Linked DNA regions of Lonchura striata. The protein of the gene in region 2 purifies or fractionates together with the protein of the main gene of each other region. This does not show direct contact. Links are inferred from orthologs where the notes say so. Each region holds a gene or a part of one and is shown on either strand. Other genes may lie near its edges.

What was found. Proteins that work in one complex are often made in the same cells at the same time.
Region 1: the proteins of VAPA (region 2) and ZFPL1 purify together in Homo sapiens (co-immunoprecipitation; 3 studies listed by BioGRID and IntAct, counting the BioPlex papers as one, with this or other methods). This does not show direct contact. The link is inferred for Lonchura striata from reciprocal best matches to the Homo sapiens genes VAPA and ZFPL1.

The regions. Positions count from the first base shown.
Region 1 is NW_027461085.1:30,893-38,101, forward strand, and holds the start of ZFPL1 (zinc finger protein-like 1), read right to left. Parts: upstream 3,006-7,209; 5' UTR 2,941-3,005; intron 2,673-2,940; 5' UTR 2,667-2,672; coding exon 2,565-2,666; intron 2,374-2,564; coding exon 2,262-2,373; intron 1,690-2,261; coding exon 1,496-1,689; intron 1,394-1,495; coding exon 1,206-1,393; intron 182-1,205; coding exon 13-181; 3' UTR 1-12. Other genes in the region: delta(14)-sterol reductase TM7SF2-like, read left to right, coding at 5,225-5,245, 5,349-5,405. UniProt on the Homo sapiens protein: Required for cis-Golgi integrity and efficient ER to Golgi transport. Involved in the maintenance of the integrity of the cis-Golgi, possibly via its interaction with GOLGA2/GM130.
Region 2 is NC_134603.1:51,864,879-51,872,469, reverse strand, and holds the start of VAPA (vesicle-associated membrane protein-associated protein A), read right to left. Parts: upstream 3,017-7,591; 5' UTR 2,938-3,016; coding exon 2,862-2,937; intron 1-2,861. UniProt on the Homo sapiens protein: Endoplasmic reticulum (ER)-anchored protein that mediates the formation of contact sites between the ER and endosomes via interaction with FFAT motif-containing proteins such as STARD3 or WDR44.

The sequences.
Region 1 (7,209 bases), on a different chromosome or scaffold from region 2:
CCGGGGGCGTGGTCAGTGCCCCACCCGCACGTGCGGGTTGTTGAGCGGCTCGAGGGCGGGGTCGGAGTCGGCCCCGCCCCTGCCCAGGCTGGCCAATAGGAGCAGCAGCAGCGCGAAGGCCGCGGCCCCGCCCAGGCACAGCGCCAGCAGGGGGCGCCGCGGGGCCCCGCGCGCGCGGCACCTGCGGGGGAGGGGTCAGAGAGGGGGGACCCAAAGGGACCCAGGGACCCCTGAAGGGAGCCCAGGGACCCCTGAAGGGACCCAGAGACCCCCCAAAGGGAGCCCAGGGACCCCTGAAGGGACCCAGGGACCCCCCAAAGGGACACAGAGACCCCCCAAAGGGAGCCCTGAAGGGACCCAGAGACCCCCCAAAGGGAGCCCAGGGACCCCTGAAGGACCCCCTAAAGGGACCCCCCCAAAGGGATCCCCCAAAGGCACCCCATGCCACCCTCAGAGTGACCCCCCCAAGCGCCCCCCGGGTCCCCCCCAGCCCCACCTGAGCTTGGGGGGCAGCCAGGCCAGCGGCCGCCGCCGGTATTTGTCCTCGTCGTGGTCGGGGGGGCTCCGGGCCTCACGGCCCCCCAGGGGCTTCCGTGGGGCAGAGCCTGGGGGGAGAGCACGGGGACCCTAAAAACCAGCCCGGGCCGGGGGACCCCCAGCGGTGCCCCCCGAAGCCCCCAGACTCACCGGCGTGCAGCGTCGGGGTCTCGCCCCCCATGTGGACGACGGCGTGGGGGGCTGGGGGGCTCGGGGGGGGCTGGGGCGGCGCCAGGGGGGCTGCGGGCACAGAGCTGGGCATCGGGGGCTGCCCCGGGCAGGACCCGGGGGGGCTTCAAGGGGTTGGGGTGCGCCAGGAAGGATTGGGGGGGTGGGGGTTGAGATGTCCCAGAGGGTTTTGGGGTCCCATCGAGCCGCTTTGGGGGAGGGATGGGCCTCCAGGAAGGATTTTGGAGGTCCTGGGAGGGTTTCGGGGGGGTCAGGGTTCCAGGGAAAATTTTGGGGGTCCTTGGAGGGTTTCTGGGGGGTCAGGGTTCCAGGGAAAATTTTGGGGGTCCTTGGAGGGTTTCTGGGGGGTCAGGGTGCCTGGGAGATTTTTGGGGGTCCTGGGAAGGTTTTTGGGGGGTTCCAGAGCAGTTGCCTAGTCCCAGGGGGAATTTGGGGCTCTCAGAGGAGGAATTGGGGTACACAGGGATCATCTCGGAGGGTCTCTGGTGGGTTTTGGGATGCTGGGGGGGCTCAGCTTCCCGGGCAGAAACGCGGGGGTGCTCCCCAGGGGCTCTGCAGGGTCCCAGGGGTGCTCCTGGGGGTGTTTTTGGGGCAGCCCCGCACCGTCCCAGCCCCCGTCGGGCTCCGTGGAGGTCTCGGGCTCCGGCAGCTCCTCCGAGTCCTCGATCTGGGGGGGTTTGGAGCGTTTCAGGGCGGGGTTTGGGGCACCCTGGGCAGTTCCGGGGCGGTGTGGGGACCCCCCGGGAGCCGTGCCCACCCCGGCACTCACCAGCGGCAGCCCCAGGCCGGGCCGGGCCCACGGCGCCGTCCGGAGCCGCGCCCGCAGCGCCTCGGCCACGGGGCCCTGCAGGTTGGGGGGCGGGAAGAGCGGCCCCCCGCACTGGGGGCAGCGGTGCCCGGCGGGGGCCGTGCTGGGGGGCAGCGCCCGCGCCCACGCCGCCAGGCACGGCCAGTGGAACACGTCTGGGGGCAGGGGGAGGGTCAGGGGCACCCGGGACCCCCCGAGCCCTCCCCGGGCCCCCAGGACCCCCGAGCCCCCTGGGACCTCCACCCACCCTAACAGGCCGGCTGCACGGTGCCCCCCGAGCCCTCCCCAGACCCCCGAGACCCCCAGAACCCCCCGTGCCCCCCGGCCACCATAGCAGGCCAGAACCCCCCGAGCCCCCCAGAACTCGCCATGCCCAGCCTCATGGTGCCCCCCAGGACCCCCCTAGGACCCCCCAAGACCCCCCGTGCCCCCCACCCACTGTAGCAGGCCAGCCTCATGGTGCCCCCCAGGACCCCCAGGACCCCCCGTCCACCATAGCAGGCCAGCTGGACGGTGCCCACCAGGACCCCCTTAGGACCCCCCGAGCCCCCAGGACCCCCGTGCCCCCTGCCCGCCATAGCAGGCCAGCCAGACGGTGCCCCCAGGACCCCCCAGGACCCCCTGACCCCCCGTGCCCCCGCCCACCATAGCAGGCCAGCTGGACGGTGCCCACCAAGACCCCCCCAGGACCCCCCAAGCCCCCAGGACCCCTGTGCCCCCTGCCCACCGTAGCAGGCCAGCCGGACGGTGTCGCGCTCGCCCAGCGGCGCCCGGCACAGCGGGCACTGCGGGCTGTAGTCGCTGTCCTGCAGCCACTGCAGGTATGACCGCACGATGCACTGCGGGACACGGCGCTCAGCGGGCAGCGGGGCACCCCGGGACCCCCACAGCCCCGCTGAGAGCCCCAAACCTTCCCCAGCCCCGCAGAGCCCGCTGAATCCCCCCCAGTGCCCCCCCAGAGTCCCCCCGAGCCCCCCGAACCTTCCCAGCCCCCCGGAGCCCCCCAGAGCCCCCAGAGCCCCCGCCCCACCTTGGGGTGCGCGCTGACCAGGCAGCTCTCGCAGACGTTGACGCGATGCTCGAAGCAGAAGAGCGTGGTCACCCGGCGCTTCGGGCACTTGCACAGCCCCATGGCGGCCTGGGCGGCGCCGAGCCGGCAAGTCGGGGGGACCGGGGGCTCCCGAGCCCCCCGGAGGAGCTGCCGCTGCCCGGGACCCCCGGACCCACGGGACCCCCGGACCCACGGGACCCTCCCGGACCCACGGGACCCACGGGACCCCCGGACCCACGAGATCCCCCCGGACCCACGGGACCCCCGGACCCACGGGACCCCCGGGACCCCCGGACCCACGGGATCCCCCCGGACCCTCCTTGGATCCCCCAAATCCCCCCAAACCCCCCCTCACCGTTCCTATGGCGACCGCGCTGCCCCGCTGGCGCTTCCGGGTGCGGCGCCCCTGGGTGACGTCACCGGAAGCGCGGCCGGGCTGCTGCGGCGCGCGGCGTGACGCCACTTCCGGCCGTTCGAACGGCCATGGCGGGAGCCGCGGGCGGGCGGCGCTCGGCGGGGGCGACTCCGAGGGGTGAGGGGGGCCGGGGGGTGCCGGGCGGCATTTGGGGGTGGGCTGGTCCCGAGGGGGATTTGGGGCGGGGGTGGGGCTGGGGGCGCCTTGGGGGGACCCCGAGGGAATTTGGGGCTGGGGTCGGTTCACGGGCAGGGCTGTGGGCCGGGGGTGTCCGTCCTGCGGCTCTGGGGGGGCTCTGCGGGGTTTGGAGTGTCCCTGGGGCGGTCCCGGGGGTCGCGACCCTCGCCCCCCACCACGCCCCGCACCTTTGCCCCCGCAGTGCCGCGACACAGCTCCGAGCGCTTGGTGGTCTCGTCGCCCCGGGGTGGCCCCCCCTGGGGACCCCCACCCCACAGCCCGGTGAGTGGGGGGCTGGGGGACGGTTCTGGGGGTCGGGGGTGGGTCCCCAAGGGGTTTGGGGGGGGTCCTAGGGGCTGGGGGCTCTCAGGGGCATGAAGAGGGAGGTCCCAGTGGGTTGTGGGGGGTCCTGGGGGGTGTTCCAGGAGCCCCAGGGTTTGGGGGGGGGTCCCGGGGTTTTCGGGGGGGCGTCCCGGTTTGGGGGCTCACAGACCCTCTCCCCTCCCCCACAGGACTTGGACCGACCCCGACGGAGCCCCCGGGTGTGTTGGGGGGGAGGGGGCTGCGGTGGGGATGGGGGGGTCCTGGTAAGGCCGGGACCCCACCCTGCCCTTCCCTCCCCCACGCTGACCCCCCCTGCCCCCCTCCACAGCTGCAGGCCCAGAAGGAGAACGACCCCTGCCCCTCCCCGTCCCCCTGCCCTCCCCTCTCCCCGCTCCCCTCCCCCATTGCCTCCCGCGTCCGCCGCTCCTACAGCCGCCTGGAGCCGGGGGGGGGCGCCCCGCGGGGGCTGGGGGGCTCCCCGCTGAGCCCCCTCCCCCTCAATCTGCCCCCCGAGCCCCCCCAGATCCCCCCCCTCGACCTGCCCGGCATCAGCGGCCGCCCTGAGCGCAGGAGGAAGAAGAAGGTGACGCCCATTGACGTGAGTGATGCCCCCTGGGACCCCCCGGGACCCTTCTGTGCCCCCCCTGTGCCACCAGGACTCCCCTGTGACCCCTCAGTGCCCCTATTTACCCCCCCCCCCAGACCCCTAAAATGCCCCCCTAAAGTGCCAGGAGTCCATGACCCCCTCAGCATCCCCAGACCCCCCCATGGATCTGTGGGACCCTCACCCCCCTGACCCTCCCCCCTGCCCTGCTGCTCCCCTCAGCCCCCCTTTTCCCCCACTGACTCCCCAGTGCCCCCCATCCCTGTGCCCCCACTGCCCCCATCCCCGTGCCCCCATTCCTGTACCCTCATTCCCCAGTGCCCCCCATTCCCCCGTGCCCCCATTCCCCAGTGCCCCCCATCCCCATGCCCCCATTCCTGTACCCTCATTCCCCAGTGCCCCCCATTCCCCCGTGCCCCCATTCCCCAGTGCCCCCCATTCCCGTACCCCCATTCCCCAGTGCCCCCCATTCCCGTACCCTCATTCCCCAGTGCCCCCCATTCCCCCGTGCCCCCCATTCCCGTACCCCCATTCCCCAGTGCCCCCCATTCCCGTACCCTCATTCCCCAGTGCCCCCCATTCCCCCGTACCCTCATTCCCCAGTGCCCCCCAGCTTCCCCGTGCCCCCGCAGCTGTCGGAGCTCGAGGCCTGGGCCTCCTCCATGAACGCGCAGTTCGAGGAGGCCGAGAGGTTCCCGCTCGTCGTGGAGTGACCCCGAGACCCCTGGGGCCCCCCCGTGCAGGAGGGACCCTCGGGGGACCCTCCAGACCCCTGTGGGACCTCTCCAGGCCAGAGAGACGCCTGGGGACCCCCACGGGACCCCCACGGGACCCTCGGGACTGGGGGGTCCTTGTGCGGGGACCCCCCATGCAGAGCCCCTCCCCTGCCCTGTGGGACCCTGAGGTGAGACCCCCGTGGGGGGGGAGGGGCCCCACATGTGTGGGACCCCCGGAGCTGTCAGCCCCCACACCGCCCCCCGTTTGTTGCCCATTAAACGAGTTTTTGTCGTGGGTCTGCCGTGTGATGACGTAACTCGTGACGTCACAGAACACCAGAAAAGGGTTACTGTCTCTTTAAGGGGGGCGGGGCGGCGCTGCAGCCAATCCGCGCGCGGCACGATGACATCACCCACCTGGGAGGCGTGGTCATCGCCAAGCCACGCCCCCAGAGGCGGAGATTGCGCGCCCCGGACCCCCAAAATCCCCCCAAAATCCCCCCAAAATCCCCTCGTCCCTCCCCCAGCCATGGAGCCCCCCCGAGCACCTCCCACCCCCGAGCTGGAATTTGGGGGGCCCTGGGGTAAGGGGGGGTTCAGTTTTGGGGGGTGGGGGCACAACTGGGTCACTTTTTGGGGAGGGGGAAGGGAGCTCCTGATGCCTTTGGGGGCTGAGGGTGTCGAGAGCCTGGGGTCCCCTTTGGGAGGGGCTGGGAGTCTGGGGTCCCCTTTTGGGGGGCTGGGGTCCCCTTTGGGAGGGGCTGGGAGTCTGGGGTCCCCTTTTGGGGGGCTGGGGTCCCCTTTGGGAGGGGCTGGGAGTCTGGGGTCCCCTTTGGGAGGGGTTGGGGACCCCTTTTGGGGGAAAGGGGGCACCCGGCCCTCAGACCCCTTGTGGGGGTGGGGGGGGAGTGACCCTTTTTTGGGGAGGGGGACACACCCAGGCCCCTTTCCTTGGGGGGTCCCTGGGTCCCTTTTTGGGGTGGGGTCTCACCCGCCCCCCCCAGGCGCGGGGGCTCTGACGCTGCTGCTGCCGCTGGGGCTGGTGGGGGTCGTCAGCGCCTGCGTGGGGGAGGGGGAGGGCTGGGGGACCCCCGCCCTGGCCCTGCCCACGGCCCCCGCGCTGGCGCTCGTCCTCGCCTGGGTGGGCGCGCATGCGCTCGGGAGCTGCTGCAGACCCCCGAGGGTGAGTGGGGGGCACGGGGGCTTGGGGATTCGAGGGGCATGGGGGGTTTTGGGGGGTGGGGAATATGAGGGGGATTTGGGGGGGATGTGGGGATTTGGGGGGGCTTGGGAAATTTGGGGGGTGGGGGATATGAGGGGGATATGGGGATGCAGGAATTTGGGGGCGCTTGGAGTATTTGGGGGGATTTGTGGGGTGGGAGATTTGGGGGGTGGGGGCACGGTGGGGGTGGCTTGGGTGGTTCCAGGGTTCTGCAGACACTGAGGAGGGGAGTGGGGGGGGGGTCCCGGTGGGTCTAGGGGGTCAGGGCGGGGGGTCAGGGTGACTCTGCTGTCCCCAGAGCCCCGGTGACACCCCAGGACCCCTGCGGGACCTCGGCTGTGAGTGGGGGTCCCTGGGGGCCCCTCTGGGGGGGCTGGGTGGGGGTCCGAGCCCAGGGTCCCTCGGAGGGGTCGGGGGTCCTGGTGGGACTCGGGGGGGTGGCCCAGGGTCCTTTTGGGGGGTTGGGGGTGGGCTGGGGGCTCGGGCGTCCCTTCGGGGGTCGCAGCTCTCCCTGCCGCTGGCTCAGGGCTCCTGGCGCTGGGGGGGGCGCTGGGGGGGGCTCTGGCCCTGGGGGTCCCCCTGCCCCCCCTGTGCCCCCTCCTCCCCCCGCTGGCGGCGGCCGCGTCCAGCGTCGCCTTCGGCCTCGGGCTCGTCCTCCTCACGCGGCGGCGACTGCGGGGGGGGGGCACCGGTGAGCGGGGGCCTGGGGAGGGGATTTGGGGGGCTGGGGGGGCTGGGGAGGGGATTGGGGGGGTCATGGCAAGTGGGGGGTCTGTGGGAGGGGATTGGGGGGCTCGGGGGTGGCGGTGGGTGCTGGGGGGCCAGGCTGGGGGGCTCTGGGCATCCGGGGGGGCTCTGGTCATCCGGGGGGGCTCTGGGTGTCCGGGGGGGCTCTGGGTGTCCGGGGGGGCTCTGGGTGTCTGGGCACTGAGGCTGCGCCCCCTCCCCCTCCAGGACACCTCGTGTATGAATTCTTCGTGGGGGCAGAACCGGGGTCCCCGCTGGAGCCCCCCGAAAGTCTGCACTGGGAGCGGGTCGGGCTCTGCGCCTGGGTACGGGGCACTGGGAGCGACTGGAGGGAACTGGGGGGCACTGGGGGCGACTGGGAGGAACTGGGAGCAACTGGGGGGTGACTGAGGGGAACTGGGGGGCACTGGGGGCGACTG
Region 2 (7,591 bases):
TGGGTACAAGAGCAGAATTTTGCCATGAGGCAAATTCTCAGTGCTCCATGCTCTGAACCTGCTATTATGTAGTTTATTAACCGCCTCTTGGTTTCATCACTTTTAAGTACACTTTTTCCCTTTGTCACATTTGCACAACACTATGAGAAGTACTTATTTGTTTTGTGAGTTTTCTTAAGATATTCTTGGTTGTTTCAGAATCCAAAGAAACTCACCTACCAAAGGGGGACAGAGAGAATTAACCATGACCCGAACACTATTAATGACTGAAATTTCTAGGACTACAAGCACTATCAAAACAGGATTGCCATCGTGGACACCAAGGGAACTATGTAATATGTTAGCTACCACAGGACATGTTCTTAGAACTCCCCTTGAATTGTGCTGAATAAAATTCAAGGATAAATGTATTACAGACCTTATGTTTGCTGACAGGATAAATTAGGTTAGATTAATAAAAAAAGCAGTTTCATCAGGTCATGATGAATTTAAAACCTTGTTAACAACTCGTTAAGATAAGTACTACATATCTTTTAATAAAACAGTTGTTTGTAAAGGGGCACACTATCACATTTCACTGTTACCCTAAAGGTCAGCAAATCCATTTTAACTTCCTGAGGCAAGAAAACCAACAAAATTATTTGTTCAATTCAAATGTTTAGATGTAAACTGGATCTCTGTTACATATGCATCAACGATACTAGTAATAATAAAATGGATGACTGTACCAATAAAATAACTTTGAACAGCACTGAAAAAATGTAGCGCTTTATTCTTTTAACAAAGTTTTGTGCTTTTCTTACACTATGCTATATTTATTCTGAGTCATACATTCTCTTTCTTACTAACCAATTACTTTTTAAAAGGTGACACTCAGAATTCACTGCTGTCAATATTGTATTCTTCAACACAGTACTTTAGAACTGCATTTGTTTGTGGCACACAAACCTTTTTAAACACCTCTAAGTAATAAACAGGTAGAAAATATTTCTTGAGAGTGCACTCAATGCTCTCTCAATTCATAGCACTTTCTATAGTATATTACTACAATAGTACAGTAACAGAGTACTGCAGTCTCATTATGCTTCATATTTTGTTTTTGCTTAGTCTGCTCTACAGAAATTTTCCTAATATATGCATTAGCCTGAAACTAAAGTTTATGCCTAAAGAATACACATTTCATGCTCTAAGTACATAAACACACAGCACAATAAAGATCACTGACAACAGCTTCACACAGAATTTCTAATCTAGTATTTATTCTATCAACACACTCTTTCATATCACATCAATATTGTGTAGTTCCAGCTTAAAACACATCTCACCATTTGCAGGCTACAAATCGGACACAGTATCTTCTTTTAATTGAAAAAAAAAAAAATTAAAATAATACATTTTCCCCCAACCTGTTCTTGCATCAACCTGTTCTGACCACAGCATTTTAATTTAGGCAGCATTTTAATACCCAAAAACCAAAGTGAAAAATCACAAGTTCCTGCAACGGTTTTGACTCTGTGTAATTTTTAAAAAGTGCAATTTAAAAAAAAAAAATTAAACTGAAGCTATCGAGAAATTAATACACATAATTATACAGATGTTGGGTTTTAATTGATCTGACGCATCAATAAAACAAGTATAGTTTGCTAATTTATCTAAATGCTAGGCCAGAGCAAAGCTATTTTGGGGGAATACAGTGTTCTTTTTAATACAAACATTCATTTGTTCTAGCTGTCCGTAGAAGATTTTTACAGCATCGTAAATTCCACTCTGTCCTCTAAAAACAATGAAAAATGAGCATACTAAAAGTGGAAAACAGAAGAATGCACAGGATTAGGCATGTACATGTGCTGACACCAACCACAACAATTTACAATGTTATTTCACATAATATTAACTACTTTTTTTTTTAATAAAAAACCTAATACTGATGATTCCAAATCTGAAAGGTTCTGAGATTTTTCTCAATGCCCCTTACAGATATAAGATATCATCACAAAAACTACATGTTCTGACACACTTTTCTTTATGCCCCTGCCTTTCAACGATCACTCACTTCTGACAGAGCCTTTCCTTTCACAACTACCTAATTCATGAGGAGAGAAAACCACAGACACACACGATACCAGCGCTAGCTGGGACCTATTTTGACAGCAGCACGTCAGCAGTCACAGCCATGCGGCCGGCACGCAACACACATAAAACTTCCGAAAGGCACGCATTCCATTTCCCTCGCTCCCAGGAAAGAGGCGAGCTCCCGAGTTACGTTCCGATAGCCTGCCTGAGACGCGACAGCTTTGGGGAAGGGGCGGGGAGCCCTTTGCCGGGCTGGGACGCAGCGGGGCGAGGGCGCGGGTGCCGGGCACTGACGGTGCAAAGCCGCACCGGCTCCGCGCGGACACCGGGGCCCCAGCACGCCCGAGAGAAAAAGCGGGGCAAGGCCAGACGTTAGGGCAGCCTCGTGAAGCCTGGAACCCCGAAAGGCTTCCACCGCCCGCGCCAGGGCCTCTCCTGCCCGCTGCTGCCAGAGGGACCGGAGAGCAAACCGCGTCCCCGGGCGCCGCTGCTCGGGGCCGGGCCCGCGAGCGCAGCGGCGCCACGGCGGGGCGGGGCGGGCAGGGGCGGCCGATCCCACCCGGCACCGCGGAGCCCGCGGGAGCCCAAGATGGCGGCGGCCGATCCCGCTCGCCGGCTCGGCGGCGCCCCCCATCCCCCGGCGGGCGGGCAGCGCCCGGCAGCGCGGCCCGCCCGCGGCAGGCAGCGGGAACGCGGCGCCCGGAGGCGGCCCGGCGCCCAGGCGGAACGGGACACCCCGCCGCCGCCGCCCCTCTCCCCGCCGCCGCGCCGGCTTCCCCCCTCCTCACCTTTGAATTTGAGGTCGGTGGGCGGATCGAGCACTAGGATCTGCTCGTGCTTCGCCAGAGCCCCAGCGGCCGCCATCTCGCTCGCTCGCTCCGGCGGGAGGAGGGGCGGAGGAGGCGGAGGAGGAGGCGGAGGAGGGGCGGAGGGGGCCGGCGGTGCCGCCGCTCCCTCACGGCGGGCGGGCGGTGCCTCGGCGCGGCTCTGCGGGCTCTGCCGGCGGGACGCGGGCCGAGGGCGGGCACTGCCGCTGCTGCTGCGCGCCCCCGAGCGCGGCCCCGCGCCCTCCCAGCCCCGGCAGCACCGCCCCCTGCGCGGGCACGACGGCGGCGGCGCGCCCCCCCGGCCTTCCTTGTGCGCATGCGCCCGGGTGCCGCGGGGTCGTCCCACACACACGGACAGCGGGACACAGAGGGACGTGGAAACACAGGGGCGAACGCACACACCCACGCGCAATTCCCTTCCACTCTGGCGGGTAGAGCGAGTCAGAATCCCAGAATCAGTTGGGTTGGAGATCATGGGGTCCAACCTGTGACAGGACAGCACCCTGTAAGGCAGAGCACAGCACTCAGTGCCACGTCCAGTCTTTCTTTAAACACCTCCAGGGACCGTGACTCCACCACCCCTCTAGGCATCACATTCCAATACCTAATCACTCTTTCTGTGAAGAAATTAGTCCTAATGTCCAACCTAAAGCTCTCCTGGTGGAAGTTGAGGTTTTGTACTGTCATCCTATTGCTAATTGCCTGGGAGACTGACCCCTACTTGGCCAAAACCTCCTGTCAGGCACTTGTAGAGGGAGACACGGACCGCCCCGAGCCGCCTGTCCTCCAGGCTAAACACTCTCAGCTCCCTCGGCTGCTCCTCACAGGACATGTGCTCCAGACCCTTCACCAGCTTCATTGCCTTTATCTGGACACACTCCAGCACCTGAATGTCTTTCCTGAATTGAGTGGCCCAGAATTGGACACAGTTCTCAAGTGCAGTCTCACCAGTGCTATATATAGGGGGGAAATCATTGTCCTGGTCCTGCTGCCACATGATGCCTGATAAAGGCCCGAATGCCATTGACCTTCTTGGCCACCTAGTCACACGCTGGTTCATGTTCAGCTGCTGCTGACCAGCATCCCTAGACCCCTTTCTGCTGAGCACTTTTTCCAGCCAGTCTTCCCGCAGCCTGTAGCGCTGCAGGGGTTGGTGTGACACAAGCGCAGGACCTGGCACTAGGTCTTGTTGAACCTCACACCATTGGTCTCGGCTCATTGATCCAGTCTGGCTTCCCCGGCACTGCATCTTATGCCGGTCCAGTCCCCACAAGCAGCGGTGGCTGCGGCGGAGCGGGGAGAATCATCATCCCCGCTCCTCGCCTTCCCAAGCACACACACACAGTTCGGGATGGAGCGGGCAGGGTGCCGCTGGCTCGGCGCTTCGGGCAGCCGCGCCGGGAGAACTACAGCACCCGGCATGCCCCGCGGTAGTAGCGGGACCTGCTGGGAGTTGTAGTCTTGGAGGGGACACCGGGCGCCCTTCCCTCGGGCCTCAGGGGCATTGGCTTGACCGGCCTTTCCCTCTAAACTGGAGAAGGGAGAGCGAACCTGGGTGGTGGGTCCTGGCAGCGCTGGTGGCTCGGACACGGGTCAGTGCTGTTCATGGGTGAGGCAGTTCCCAGATGCTGCCATGTACCCTCGTTTAAAAATAAAATTTTCAAAAATTGTAACAGTTTGATTGAAGACAGCATCTTGAAAAACATTGCCACTTGCATCTCTGTAGTTGAGATTAATAACCAGACCGAAAAGACAACCAGACATAGGCTCAGCAAGGATGAAGGAGTACTCAAACGCGGCTTGTCCCTGTGGTGGAACTACTGTGTTCAGAGAGAGAGAGCTGTGAAGTTCTGGATGTAAAAGTGATATTCTTGAGGGTACCGGAAAGAAGCATCAAGAGACTCAACATTGGGATGGCTGGGTCCAGTCCTGGGCACTGTCATGGATGGCCTGACCTTCTGGCCTTGAAAACAGCCAAAACCATTAAAGTTGGAAAACTGTCATTACATTAAGTCTTAGGAATATTAACAGGGAATAAATGGACCTGTTTAGTGTAGAGAAGAGAAGACAGAAGGGATCTCATGTAAGTGTCTCAAAGGTAGGTGTCAAGAGGATGGTGCCAAATTTTTCAATGGTGCCCAGAGACAGGACAAGGAGCAGTGGCCATAAACTCAAACACAAGAAGTTCCATCTCAACATGAAGAACTTTTTTATATTAAGGGTCACCGAGCACTGGAACAGGGGAGTTATAGAATCTCCCTCTCTGGAGACATTCAAAATCCACCTGGATGAGTTCCTGTGTCACCTGCTTTAGGTGACCCTGCTTTGGGAGGGGGTCTGGACTAGATGATCTCCAGACGTTTCTTCCAACTCTTCCAACAATTCTACAATTCTGTGAAAAGTTGAGAGAGACTGAGCTCCTGCAAAACCTGAATGAGAAATAAGAGCTATTATGTATTAGTAGGCAGGAACATGAGTTGTTTCCCATCCTCCTTGCTAACACTTTTTGTCAGATACAGTGTTGTCACTGTGGGCCTTTTCATTAGTACCATACTTTCAAGCAGATGGTGCATCCTGGGGTATTTGAATGTACCAGCAACAAAAAAACAAATAAGAAAAAACAGTTAGACAGTTAAATCCATCCAAAACTTGATGATTTCTGTGTCCTAAATCTGCTTCTGAAGAATTCTCCTGTAAGAGATATGTTTGTATTCATGCAAAGTTGGAGTACAGGTGAGAAAAATTTAGTCAGAAGGACTAACACATTTTTTCTCTCTTGCAAAATCTGGTGTAGGTATGCTAAGAACATATATAGGGACATAATAACCCATTTCAAAAATATGTCCTGATAATAAATACATTGAGAGGACTTAAATGGTTTGCATTCAAAATCAGCTCTTCATAGTAATACTTGTGGATCACATAATTTCTTTGGTGAATACCTGTAGTTCAGCCGAGCCATGAAGGAAGGACTGTGGACTGGGAAGGCTGGGGAGGCCCTCTGAGTAATTTAGGTTCAGGTTCTGCCTTGGAGCCCCCACCCTCCACTTCAGCTGCCTGCCCCTCCTCCAGGCCTGCCACCATCATTCCTACATACTTTTTTCCACACCGCTCTTGCCAACACCAAAACCCACATGATTTTAATACCATCACTGCCTGAAGAAGAAACAAGTAAAAAGTGCTCTAGAAAAGCACCTCAGAGCAGGTTTGCCTGATTGAAATTGGCTTCAAAAGGTGGAGTTACATGACCTATGTGTGAAAATGCCGCTAGAGCTCTGCAGCTACTCTGGCTGCAGGTTTTTTCCAGACTTACTTTATAATGCACATAAAACAGCATCTTAAATTACATCTTTTATTTACAGTGCAATATTTAAAATTGTTATCTGGTGGTCTGTTGGGCTTTGTTAACAAAACAAATGTTCCACTCTGTTTATGCATTCTTACCCTTGGGATCTGGAAGATAAACTGGAAAACAGAGGTTTTTCATCTTCTGTCTTAACATAGAAGAAGAATGTTAACTCTGTTATTTCCACTCTCTGTTTCTGTTCGTGAATCAAGCAAAGATTAAGCCATAGTGCATGCTTCTCAGAAATAGTAATTCAGCCTCCAGAATTACCTGCTGCTTATGTACCAGAAGAACTGGGTCTCAGCTTTCATAAAATCAAGACATGGGAAATAGCTGCAAAATGCTGAATGCCTCAAAAGTTTCTGTCTTTTCTCCTTTTAATGAGGTTAAAAAATAACAGTAAAGAGTACAAATGCAAAAGAAGTTTCGAAGTTTCCGCCATGCATATTTACAAGACAGAAGTATCTCTGTTGCGCAATTCTTCTACACATCTCTTGTTTAAGAAAAACTGAGGAAAACCAGAAGTTTGGATATCTCCTTAGTATGATAATAGGATTTAGAGGTTTTCCCATGCAAGCACCCTGTTAGACATGGCTGTGCAGTAGATGGGACTGACATCAGGGATGTGCATGGTTTGGGGGAAGGCTGGGTTGGTACTTATCAAAAGCATAGTGAGAGGCAGTGCATGAAGAACAGAGCACAGTCCCAAGCTCTGGGGGGATGTCACACAATCACTGAGTCTGCAAAGGACCCCAGTAAGGCCACAGTTTAATTTCCAACTCAAAGCTGTTTTTTACTGTGGTCTTTGTTGTTGTTTGAACACATTTTGAAATTTACTAATGCATTGATCTGTTTTATTGCATTTAGTATAATTTCTGATCTAATGCTTCTATTTCATCCAGACCGATGTAATTTTTATATTAAAACAACACCTGTGCTGTTGATCAGCAATATCTGGCAACCTTCTCCAACATCTGATTCATTTTGTTTCATCACCTCACAGCTCAGGAATGAAACCTTGGATCTATTGCAGTTAATAGAACTCCTATAGCTGATTTCAGTGAGATAATAATGTCATTCCAGAAGTGCTATTAGTGTATTCATCACTGCTTGCAAAAGGATTAAATTTGCTTAATCTGAGGTCAACATTTGTCCTGTGTATTTGTAGATTTTGATGGTTTTCACTCTGCAAATTTAGTATTGTTGTTATAATATCTCGGTTTCGAGATAGTTTGACATTTTTCAAAACTGTTTACTCTAAAATATTAAATAAGCACTCTCTGTTCTTGAGAAGTATTAGAATAGATTGAGTTTCTTAATAGCTTTTTCCTGTTTATTGTGCAGG